3 linked regions of the Yarrowia lipolytica genome follow. The protein of the gene in region 3 purifies or fractionates together with the protein of the main gene of each other region. This does not show direct contact. Links are inferred from orthologs where the notes say so. Each region holds a gene or a part of one and is shown on either strand. Other genes may lie near its edges.

Region 1 (4,595 bases), on a different chromosome or scaffold from region 3:
GTCGTATTTGTAATAACCTGACGCCGTATAATACTATTTAGCTGGTACAATTGATACTGAATGCTCGCTCAAGGTTCTGAACTGACCTCTTATTCACTACAAGTGTTTGTATCTTCCAAATATCTCTCGTTATAGAGCTCCATACACCCCCTGTTATTTTAGCTACTGCTTGTACACGGAGATATGCGAAAAAAGTCAGATGCAGCAGAATCCAAAGACGACATACAATAGGCTTGTACTGTGAGTCCTATCCGAGTGCATATTCTGCGGTCATGGTGATTGACGGAGTCCGACAGACACGGTCACAGTGATTCGTATTGTGGCACTCGCTCTATGGCACTCGTGACTCGTGATCGCTATACGGTGTGAGGATACGTCCCGAGAAACTACAATGTAGCCCTCTGCCACGAGATCTTTTTCCGAAGTTCAGAACGATTCGTGCTGTTCACTCGCAGTTCTCACAATAATGTCAATATCTATTGGTATGCCTATATAACCCGTCCCTAGTCCCTCACAATGCCCCCATTTCCATCCTACACAACCTGAGGAGTGTCCAGGAAGTCCATCTCATTCAGAGCGTAGTCTAGCAGATAGCTCTCGTCGTACATCTCATCGACCCGGTTAAAGTGTCGCTCCGAGTAAGGAATGAGAGCGTCTGTCATGGTGGAAATCTTGGGCACCTGGCTGAGCTTGTCAACCGAGTGGTTAACCAGAATGCAGTTCATGACCCGCTGAGCCACCACCGACGATCGAGCATTCGTGTTCCAGTCTCGGACTCGCTTGATCAGAAGCTCCAGTTGCTCGACATTGAGTCCAGCAATCACATTGTCGACCTTAGTCAGACCCATGATGGAGTCCTCGTCCTGGCGATCAGCAAGCACGTCTCGGAACAGACAGAAAAGCTTGTAGGGCTGGTTCAGAGTCAGAGCAAGCAGAATAGCATTCTCCCAGTCCTTGGACCGCACGTAGTTTGCCAGCTGCTGCTCCTGCTCCACCTGAAGCTCGGCAGCAGCCTTCTTGGCAGCCTTCTCCTCGTCGGAGATATCCTTCCACACAGTAATGGTTCCCTCTCCGTCTCCAGAGACCATCTGGGCACCGTCATCGGAGCCTCGAACAGCCAGAGACCACACCTTGTCTTCATGGTTGTCCAAAGTGACAGCACATTCTCCAGAGGCATAAGTCCATACCTTGATGAGTCCGTCTCCTCCAGAGGAGACAATCTGGGAGCCCAGAGAAGTCCACACGGTTCGCAGAACCGAGTTGGTATGGCCTTCAAATGTTCGCAGGCACGAAAAGTCGTTCAGAGACCACACCTTGACGGTCTTGTCTCCCGATCCAGTTACAATCTGTTTCTCGTAGGGGTTGAACTTGATAGACCAGACGCCTCGCTTGTGTCCTCGCAGCACTCCCACAGCCTCACCCGAGTTCATGTCCCACACCTTTGCAGTTCTGTCCTGAGAAGCCGTAGCAAACAGTCTATCGTTAGGAGACACGTCCAGAGCATTGATATCCTTCTCGTGGGCCTTTCGGGTGTACTCGGCCTTCGCAGTACCGTCCTTGGCAATGTTCCACTTCTTGATGGTCAGATCTTGCGAGCCGGTAATGAGGAACTGAGGAGGTCGACCCTCAAGAGGAAGTCTAGGAAGAGCAACACCTCCCACAGAACCAGCATGACCGGTGCAGACAGCAAAGCAGGTCAGAGTGGGCACGTGCCAGATTCTAGCCTCGTGATCCTTTCCAGAGGAAGCCAGCCAGGTACCGTCAAACGATCGGTCCACGGCAATGACGTTATCTCTATGTCCAGTCAGAACGTTGGTTTCGATTCCTCCAACGGTCTGGATTCGAATGTCGGGCGCGTTGGTGACCACCGCCAGCTTGGACTCGTCTTCGCCAACATAAGTCATATCGATGATCTGATCATGGAAACCCACAATACGTCGCACCTCCTTTAGGTCGTCGTCCAGCTCCACAAAAGTCTGGTCTGACAGCACAGACACAAGCTTGTCGGTCTTATACAGAATGTCCACCACTCCCACTCGCTCGTTTTCCTTGTTGTGCACTGCAGGCTGGACCTGGGCAGCAATCAGAGCAGAAGTCTGACCGTTCCAGATCTTCACAACTCCCATCTCGCCACCAGTATAGATTCGAAGACCCTCGCCATTCAGGATACCGGCTGTCTCGATACTCTCACCCACGGGGATGGTTCGCACCAGCTTGAACTTGTTGGCGTCCCACACGTTGACGATCTTGTCTCGGCCTCCAGACACAAGAATGCCACCGTCGGAGCTCCAGGACAGACCTCGAATGACCGAGTTATGCGAATCCAGCACCTTGAGACACTTTCGGCTCACGAGATCCCAAACTCGGATCTTGCAGTCGTCCGCTCCGGACGCCAGGCGCCACACTGAGCCGCCCTGTTCGCCGAAAAACTTCAATGCAGAAACCACTCCTCCATGGCCCTTGAGATTGTGAGTCACAAATCCCCGCTCCAGATCCCACACCTTGACGGTTCCCTCGGCTCCTCCGGTCGCCACCAGACTCGATGAGCTGTCGATAGCCATGACAATCACTGGGGCGTCATGGGCCCGGGCTGATCGAACCAGTTCTCCACTGGGGATTCGGTATGTGCGCATTGTCAGAGATCGGGAGCATGTGACGAGGTATTGGGCATCGGGACTTATTTCCAGAGTCGTCAGAATCTCACTATCGCCCTCGATTCGGCAGATTTCCTCTCCAGTTTTGATGTTGGTCACCACCACGTCCTCTCCAAAAGAGGTGGCCAGGGTGTACCCGTCGTCGGCGAGAGAGGTCTTGCCACCGGTGTAGAAAGGCTCCACGGATACGGCTTCGAACGCAGTCTTTTCCGTCGTTTCCATCTTGTCTTTTGGTAGTATAGCAGATGTGTTTCGTGCAGTTGGATTTCAGCACACCAATTTTTTCCAATCTTGCATGTTGCAAACGTTAATTAATTTTTCCAGAACCATGTATGTAAGAGGAGGAAGTACGAGTAGCCTCTCTTAGTGGCATTGATCTGGAGTCAGACCAAAATGACAGCCTTGGAGCAGTCACTTTGAGCAGTTATTGGATTATTAAGACTCCCAGTTCCAATTTGTGACCATTTTTGATGGTCCTTCCACTTTTTTTTTTTTTTTTTCTGCATATACATTACATATACCATACTTCACCTAAGCTAACTAATACCACCTAAATTACTTACCCTCACCACCCCACCTCAACCCAGATCATAATAGAAACTGAACGATTGATTTACTGATCCAATGGCTCGTGTATTGCCGGCAGTATACCTTTTGTGACTGTATCGTCAAACTCTTGGCTTGCATTCTCCATCTACTGTATTTGTACTTATACAAGTATCACTTTTCCTTGTATTCAGTGCATATGCCCCCTATTTGGCTGTCATACGAGCTACAAAACACACATTCCCCCATTTATTACGAGTACAAGTACAAGTACGATACGAAGACACAACTATCACATAGAACGCCGTCTACAAATACGCCATTCAAGATAACTCCAGATCTTGTCGGTCACGTGGTCACGATCCGTCCTCATGTACAGTATGTACGATACCGCCAGTACTTGGCACACTGTTTGCAAATCTTCCTGCTACCCACCCGAGAGCTTCTTCAGAACACGTCACGTGACACGGAGTTTCCAACCTCCCCCCCACCCGCCGAGCCGTTGCACTGTATTACGCAAATCTCCCACACTGCACGCACAATATCGTGCAGTAACGTTCGACACGAAAGAAACAGGCATGTATGATTTTTCAAACGAGGAATACGAAGGTGGAACTTTAAGCGAAACGCCGGTGTGAAAAAACATGCGCTAACTATGAAGGCAATGGAGACAACTGGGAGAGACCAGACAAGGGGTTAAGACGTGTTTTTCTTTTGGAAGTGGAGTGAATGGAGTTGGTCACGTGTACACACACACACACACACACATACACAATCCACACAACCCAAGTCTGAATTCGTGGTGGGATCGAGTTGCAACAAAAGGTGGTGCGGATGCACGGACGGTCACCTCCACACGCCATGTCATGTCATCCCATCTCGCTCAGGTCGTATGTCTAAGGTTCTTCATGCAAGTGATTTGGGCAAAGCCTATTGTGTTTGTATATATAGACGCGACTGGGGGGCACGCATTACAACTAGCTATCACCGACAGTACGAACCGCCACAATGAAATTCGTCGGTCTGATTTCCCTGCTGCTGGTGGGTCTGTACATGGTCACCAACTGGCTCTTTATCAACGTGCTCCCACACAGATACATCTTCGACAAGGATGAGCTCATGACCATGGTCAACCAGACTCTGGAGCGAAACCCCGACGGAAACTCGACCGCCATTCTGACCGATCTGGGCGCCTCTCTGCACGACCGATATGGCAAGTTCATCAACGAGCTCAACTTTGACGAGTGGGTCTTCAACAACGCCGGAGGAGCCATGGGATCCATGTTTGTGCTCCATGCCTCTGTCACCGAGTACCTCATCTTCTTTGGCACTGCTGTCGGCACCGAGGGCCACACCGGAGTGCATTACGCCGATGACCACTTCATGATGCTCACC
Region 2 (3,098 bases), on a different chromosome or scaffold from region 3:
ATCTGGGCCATTTCCAAGAACGATATCAAGAACTTGATTCTCAAGCACGACGCATCGCGAATTATCCAGACTCTGTTCAAGTACGCTGACAAGGAGAAGCGAGAGATCATCACAAAGGCGCTGAAGGGCAACTACTACGACCTGGCCATCTCGTCTTACGGAAAGTACCTGCTGGTCAAGATGCTGCATTACGGATCTGCTGCCGTTCGACAATCTATTATTGACGAGCTGCACGGCCGGTTCCGAAAGCTCATGCGTCATAAGGAGGGTGCCTATGTGCTGGAGGATGCCTACAGAGACTACAGCACTGCTGCTCAGAAGCGACAAATCATCCAAGAGTTTTTCGGTGCCGAGTTTGCCGTTTTCCGAGACGCTGCTGGCACAAAGACCCTTAAGGATATTATCGAGGACGCCCCCGAGAAGCGACCCATCATCATGCGAAACCTGAACGAAACTATCACTGCTGCTGTCAACAAGGGTTCCATTGGTTTCACCGTCATTCATGCTGCCATGCTTGAGTACGTCAGCAACCTTGACACCAACAACTCGGAGAAGACCGAATTCATCGATCTGATTGGCGAGCAGTTTGCAGAGATGGTGCATACTAACGAGGGATCGCAGGTGGCTTGCAAGACTCTGGCCATGGCTTCTGCCAAGGAGAAGAAGGGTCTTCTCAAGTCGCTCAAGAGCTTTGCCGACACCCTGGCTGCTGATCAGTACGGACACATGGTCATGATGACTGCTTTTGACACCATTGACGATACCAAGAGTGTTGTTAAGGCCTTTTCTGGTGAGCTCTCCGAGAAGCCCGTGCATGAGCTGTTCATGGACAAGAACGGTCGACGACCCTTCCTGTATGCCATGCTAGGCCGAGACTCTCGATACTTCAACAAGCTGGTTCTGGATCAGCTCAAGCAGTACGATGAGATGAAGACCGCAACTGGTACTGCCAAGAAGGATGATGCTCTTCGACTGGAGGAGATCAACAAGGGAATGTCCCCTCTGATTCTCGAGGCCATTGCCAACAACGCTTACGAGCTCATGAACGACACCCTGGGTTCTCAGTTCATTTCTGAGGCTCTTCTGTCGTGTGACGGTGACAAGTCTGAGGCTATCGCTGCTCTTATGGAGGTTCTGTCTGCCGATCCCGCCGGTGACAACCACGTCATCAAGCAGCCCAACGCTCAGCGAGCTCTGCGAACCCTCATTCAACAGGGACATTGGAACAACAAGGAGAAGAAGGTAGTCAAGGTCGAGACTCCCATCGACTTCGGTGCCAAGTTCTACGATGCAATTGGGGATCACGTTGTCGCATGGGCCACTGGAGACGGTGCTTTTGTCATTGTGACTCTGTTGGAGAACCTGGAGGACGATAAGCTGAAGAAGGAGCTCAAAAAGACTCTCAAGGACAGTAAGAAGGAGATTGCTGCTGCTGCCGAGGATGGAAACAAGGGTTCCAAGCTCATTGTTGACCTGCTTTAAGCGAAAACACGTTGTATAAAGATATATTTGGTAATAGAGGTATGATAGGATAAGTTGAGGATACTGTTTTACTACAAGTAAAGAGTTGTTTGCCACTCGCGTACAAGTGCATACGATAGAGAGGGATGCTTTGATATATACATATATATTTTTTTTGGAAAGATCAATCCATAGATCAGAAATGTTGAGAATTTCCAAATGAAATAGAAGGAGATCGAAAAGGAAGTATTAACAAGTTACCAAGGTATGGCATATTTAATAGTTGGAAAATAAATAAATAAAAATAACTAAAAAAAATAAAAAATCAAACCAAAAACCAACACAAACAATACTACAAGTAGTCTCGGTGGTAGTCACACCAAATACCCATCTAAGCATTTTCCTTGATACTCGCTTCTATGCATGGCAAAACTCTATATCAAAAAAATCCCAAATTATTCTTCACGGTGCAGGGAAAGATATCACCACTTCTTCACAACACCTTTGACAAAATGGTACGACAGTTCAAGCACCACGAGGGCAAGCTGCTCAAGAAGGTCGACTTTGTCAACTGGAAGACAGATAATGGCCACCGTGAACAGCAGGTGATGGGCACCTTCCATCTGCAGGACCGAGACGACTACAACAAGTACAACAAAATCTGCGGTAAGATCCGACAATTAGCATACAAGCTATCTCAGCTCCAACCGGACGACCCTGTTCGAATCAAGCACGAAAAGCTGCTTCTCGACAAACTCTACCAGATGGGCATTCTTTCCACTAACACCACCGTTTCGCATCTGGAGACCAAGATATCTGTGTCTGCTATCGCCAAGCGACGACTCCCCGTCATCATGCACAAACTCAAGATGACCCAAAAACTGGACGCTGGAACTGCCATGATCGAGCAGGGTCACGTGAGAGTGGGTCCTCACATTGTCACCGACCCTGCGTTTCTGGTGACCCGAAACATGGAGGACTTTGTCACCTGGACCGACCGATCCAAGATCAAGAAGGCCACTCTCAAGTACCGAAACGAGCTCGACGACTTCAACACTATGTAAGTTTTTATTTATGCATGCTACTATTAGACGGAATGAGAAGGCGTGTAGAGAACTTGGAGAAGTAGGGGATAGTCCGCTTTTTTATTATTGTCAAGTCGATAAGAACACTATCAGGTGAAACGAAGACATTCATTGCTATATGTTCAACTAAATGACTTCAGATTTTGAGCGTCGTCTCCTTAATCACTGTGCTCTTGTCTGATCTCTCGGTTGTTGGTATTGTCTGGGCGAGTATGTCAGTTACGATACAAGTACTACCGTTGTAGATTCATATTTACAAGAAAGCCTACAAAAGATACACGCCGCTGGTACTTGAAGTCGTACTACTATACGATATGGTAGAAGCACAAGACTCTGCATCTCCTTGGTTCTGTCTCTCAGATTACAAGTGAGGCACTGGACCTATAGGCTAGCATTGTAGCCACAACCAAACCACTTAAATCGAAGTGATGACAATCAAGTGATCACTTTATACCACTAACTACTGTCGGGTCCCTGTGGTGACTCTATTATACCGTATGCTAATTATTTTCAGACTAAGCCGAAGCAGCCTGGGACTGGGACTCATGCACG
Region 3 (3,047 bases):
ACCTTTCGAGAACAGGTTAGAAGTGAAATCTCAGGGGTGGAGGAAACGCACGACTACAGTACAGTACAGTACACAACGGATAATGGTCCAGGCGTATTATGGAACATACCATTGGAACGAGCAGAGTTTTGCGATCAGTCTGACACCAATTCTGGGCTTGTTAGAGCATTTGGACGATGCTGAGGTTCAGACGAAAAACACCTCCGAACCTCGTCCCAACATTCAAGAACATCAAAACCCCACTCTTCTGAAAACTCTTCTGGAAACTGTACGTGGAGCTTTACTTCTACACTCTGTCACTATTAATATGCTCATAAATACTATATCCTTTCTATCAGTGTGTATGAACACACAGTATTGTGTTGAAGCCAGCCGGTGGACAGTCTGATGTCGAGTCAGCGTGAGAAAGGTGGTTCAGATAAAACCGACTCATTTTTTGACATTTTATCAAACTCCCTGTATTTCTGTAACTGCTTTCCAAAAGCTGTCATAACCGCACAAGTGCTGACAAGATATTACTTCCTCCAGCGATCAATAAGTCGTCCAGTAGGCCTTCATCGGCTCTTGTCCACTCAGACCTTCAGTCTTGCCACTTAAAGGTAATCCTTCTTATTGGCAGTTCGCATAAATCCATGCATTCTCCACTCGACATCGGCATCCTTGTTCTCCAGAGTGCCCAGTCTCAGGTCATAGAGTCTCATTTCAAACCGCGGTCCGACCTCAGCAAGCTCAACACCCTCCCGGGTTTTGACGTAGACATGCTGCCGGACACTGATAAAGTCGCCTCGGTTGGCAAATGTGATGACTCGAGCTGAGTCCTTCTTCACTCCGGGAGGAAACAGATGCTTCAAAATCTGCACAACTCGCTTACCCAGGTCGGTGGTGAAGTTGTCAAAGATGAGATGAGGGTGCACCTCGCTCATGTTGCCGGTATCGGGCAGATCGTGTCGAAGAACCACGTTATGAAGCGAAAAGTAGGCGGTGGGGCCATGGGGGAAATGGGACACCGTCATGGCAGTAGGCACACCTCGATGCTCGTGCAAAACAATGAGATCCGATGAAGCAGACGTCTTGCAAGCCGAAACCAGCGACGGCAACACGGTTCCTCCTCGGTTGAGCCGGATAGAAGTGGGGAACAGCAATTTCACCTCCTTGGCAAACTGAGACAGACGGGTCGACGGGTCTCGAGAAGTCGTCACCACCACCTTGGGATCGGTGATGCCACTCATGGCGCTATATTCGTCGTCAATCTCATCCTGCACAGACTCGTCGTACGCAATGGTCTTTCGAAGCTCTTCGTCGTCAGCCACGTCTTTGGGCAACGGCTTACCGGAGGCCAGCGCCGCCTTCAACTGCTGCCGCTTCTGGATCTTGGTCGCCTCCTGCAGCTGGAGCGACTTTCGGTAGAGATACTCTCGCCGTTCTCGGGCCTGTCTTCTGATCATGCTGGGCTTGTGGCGGTGATGTAAAGGTTGTGGGAAGACTGACAAAAAAAAAGATCTGTATGCATAATTCTTTTCCACGAAAAAGCTTAATCTGAAAACTTATTTCGATGGCCACAGGGATATCATGTGGCCAATAAAAAGCTATATGTGACACTTTAAGAAGTGAAAGGTCCCGGATAAAGATGTAAAATTCACCATTGTATCATTCTCCGCTTTCTCCGGTCAAATTATGAACAGTTTGGACCCATTTATTGCCATTTGTTGTGTTCAACTAACTGTTGGGAGTGCTTGTGAGATGTCTTCACTGTAGACCAAATGGCCTTCAATGTCAGGATATGCTGGCGAATGGTGGAAGCACCTCAAAAAGAATATATGTAAACTGGTGATTTTCCGGTCGATAGTTTCCTCTGATACTCCTCTACTTCTACAGAAACTTGCTTTCGAGAATTGTTGTGGCCCCGTCCAACACAATGACAATCGTTGTAATCCTTCCACCCAGTGACAATCAATGTAATTTTTCCATGGAAAACGAATTATACGGAGACAGTGATGATCAGAAAGACCTATCGGATTTGGGAGCTCCCAGGAATCAAAAAAGAGTACTACGAAAGTATTGTATAATTGACAGAATATTTCGCCAGGCTCCGGGTCTGACTTTTCCCGAACGGCTCAGATCCAACAGTTTGAACATGCTCTAGAATGCTGGATAAAAGAAGGGATTGTCACTTGAAGTGGAGAGACAGACTAAACATTCTATTTATCTTCTTTTCAATAATTCCGCTTCACCTCAAAACCTCTCCCTTCTCCGTTGCATCTCCGGCCAGAACCCACATCACCGAACAGGTCGAGATTTGGGTCGATTTGAACTGGGTCGAGGTGATTAGTTGAAAATTAAATCAATTAAAATTTATCTTGAGATTATATCAAGTCTTCATTATCATCTCTTCGGCCTTTCGTTCAGTTCAGACAGAAGAGCAGGAACAGGATTGTTATAGAATCATGGATATTCTTCCGATTTGAACGATTTCAACTCAAGTGTACAACAATAACCCGTCTAAATAGATCTTCTGATACTTTCTCCGATCTACAAATCGATCGCAAGAGCAAGTCGACGAGCAAGGGCTTGTACTGTAGGTACTGTAGGTACTACTGTAGTTGAACTTCCTACCTTTCTAATGAGACGATAAATGACCAGATTCGGGAAAATTAAACGGGATCCAAAATAACATGCTCTCCAAAGATCAAATCATTTCTCAAATCAGCTAGTTTTAATATCTGGAAGGACCATATCTCAAACACTACAATACACCACCCTCATCATTCTACTACAACACCCCATAGTAACCCTAACCAACTCCAGCATTATCCTCCGCCAACAATGCCGATCAGTTCCTCTCATACAGACTAACCCCCATCGCTTCTCATTTACTCGCAAAATGACCTCCTATACCTCCTACTGTAGACCTCCTTACCTCAACTAAAATCCCAACTAATGCTTCATATAGAACGAGCACAATGAAGCCCATAACTCCACTTTTTATCACTATACACCCCATAATATCTACACTAAAATATACCGCGTAACCCCCAAGACTCCATTTT

The links.
Region 1: the proteins of YALI1_D30922g (region 3) and YALI1_E38020g purify together in Saccharomyces cerevisiae (affinity purification with mass spectrometry; 3 studies listed by BioGRID). This does not show direct contact. The link is inferred for Yarrowia lipolytica from reciprocal best matches to the Saccharomyces cerevisiae genes IMP4 and UTP13.
Region 2: the proteins of YALI1_D30922g (region 3) and YALI1_F23133g purify together in Saccharomyces cerevisiae (affinity purification with mass spectrometry; 3 studies listed by BioGRID, with this or other methods). This does not show direct contact. The link is inferred for Yarrowia lipolytica from reciprocal best matches to the Saccharomyces cerevisiae genes IMP4 and IMP3.

The regions. Positions count from the first base shown.
Region 1 is NC_090774.1:3,799,170-3,803,764, forward strand, and holds YALI1_E38020g (uncharacterized protein), read right to left. Parts: upstream 2,877-4,595; coding exon 534-2,876; downstream 1-533. Other genes in the region: YALI1_E38034g (uncharacterized protein), read left to right, coding at 4,209-4,595. UniProt on the Saccharomyces cerevisiae protein: Involved in nucleolar processing of pre-18S ribosomal RNA.
Region 2 is NC_090775.1:2,311,461-2,314,558, forward strand, and holds YALI1_F23133g (uncharacterized protein), read left to right. Parts: upstream 1-1,880; coding exon 1,881-2,525; downstream 2,526-3,098. Other genes in the region: YALI1_F23109g (uncharacterized protein), read left to right, coding at 1-1,482; YALI1_F23157g (uncharacterized protein), read right to left, coding at 3,062-3,098. UniProt on the Saccharomyces cerevisiae protein: Required for the early cleavages at sites A0, A1 and A2 during 18S ribosomal pre-RNA processing.
Region 3 is NC_090773.1:3,090,756-3,093,802, forward strand, and holds YALI1_D30922g (uncharacterized protein), read right to left. Parts: upstream 1,446-3,047; coding exon 594-1,445; downstream 1-593. UniProt on the Saccharomyces cerevisiae protein: Required for the early cleavages at sites A0, A1 and A2 during 18S ribosomal pre-RNA processing.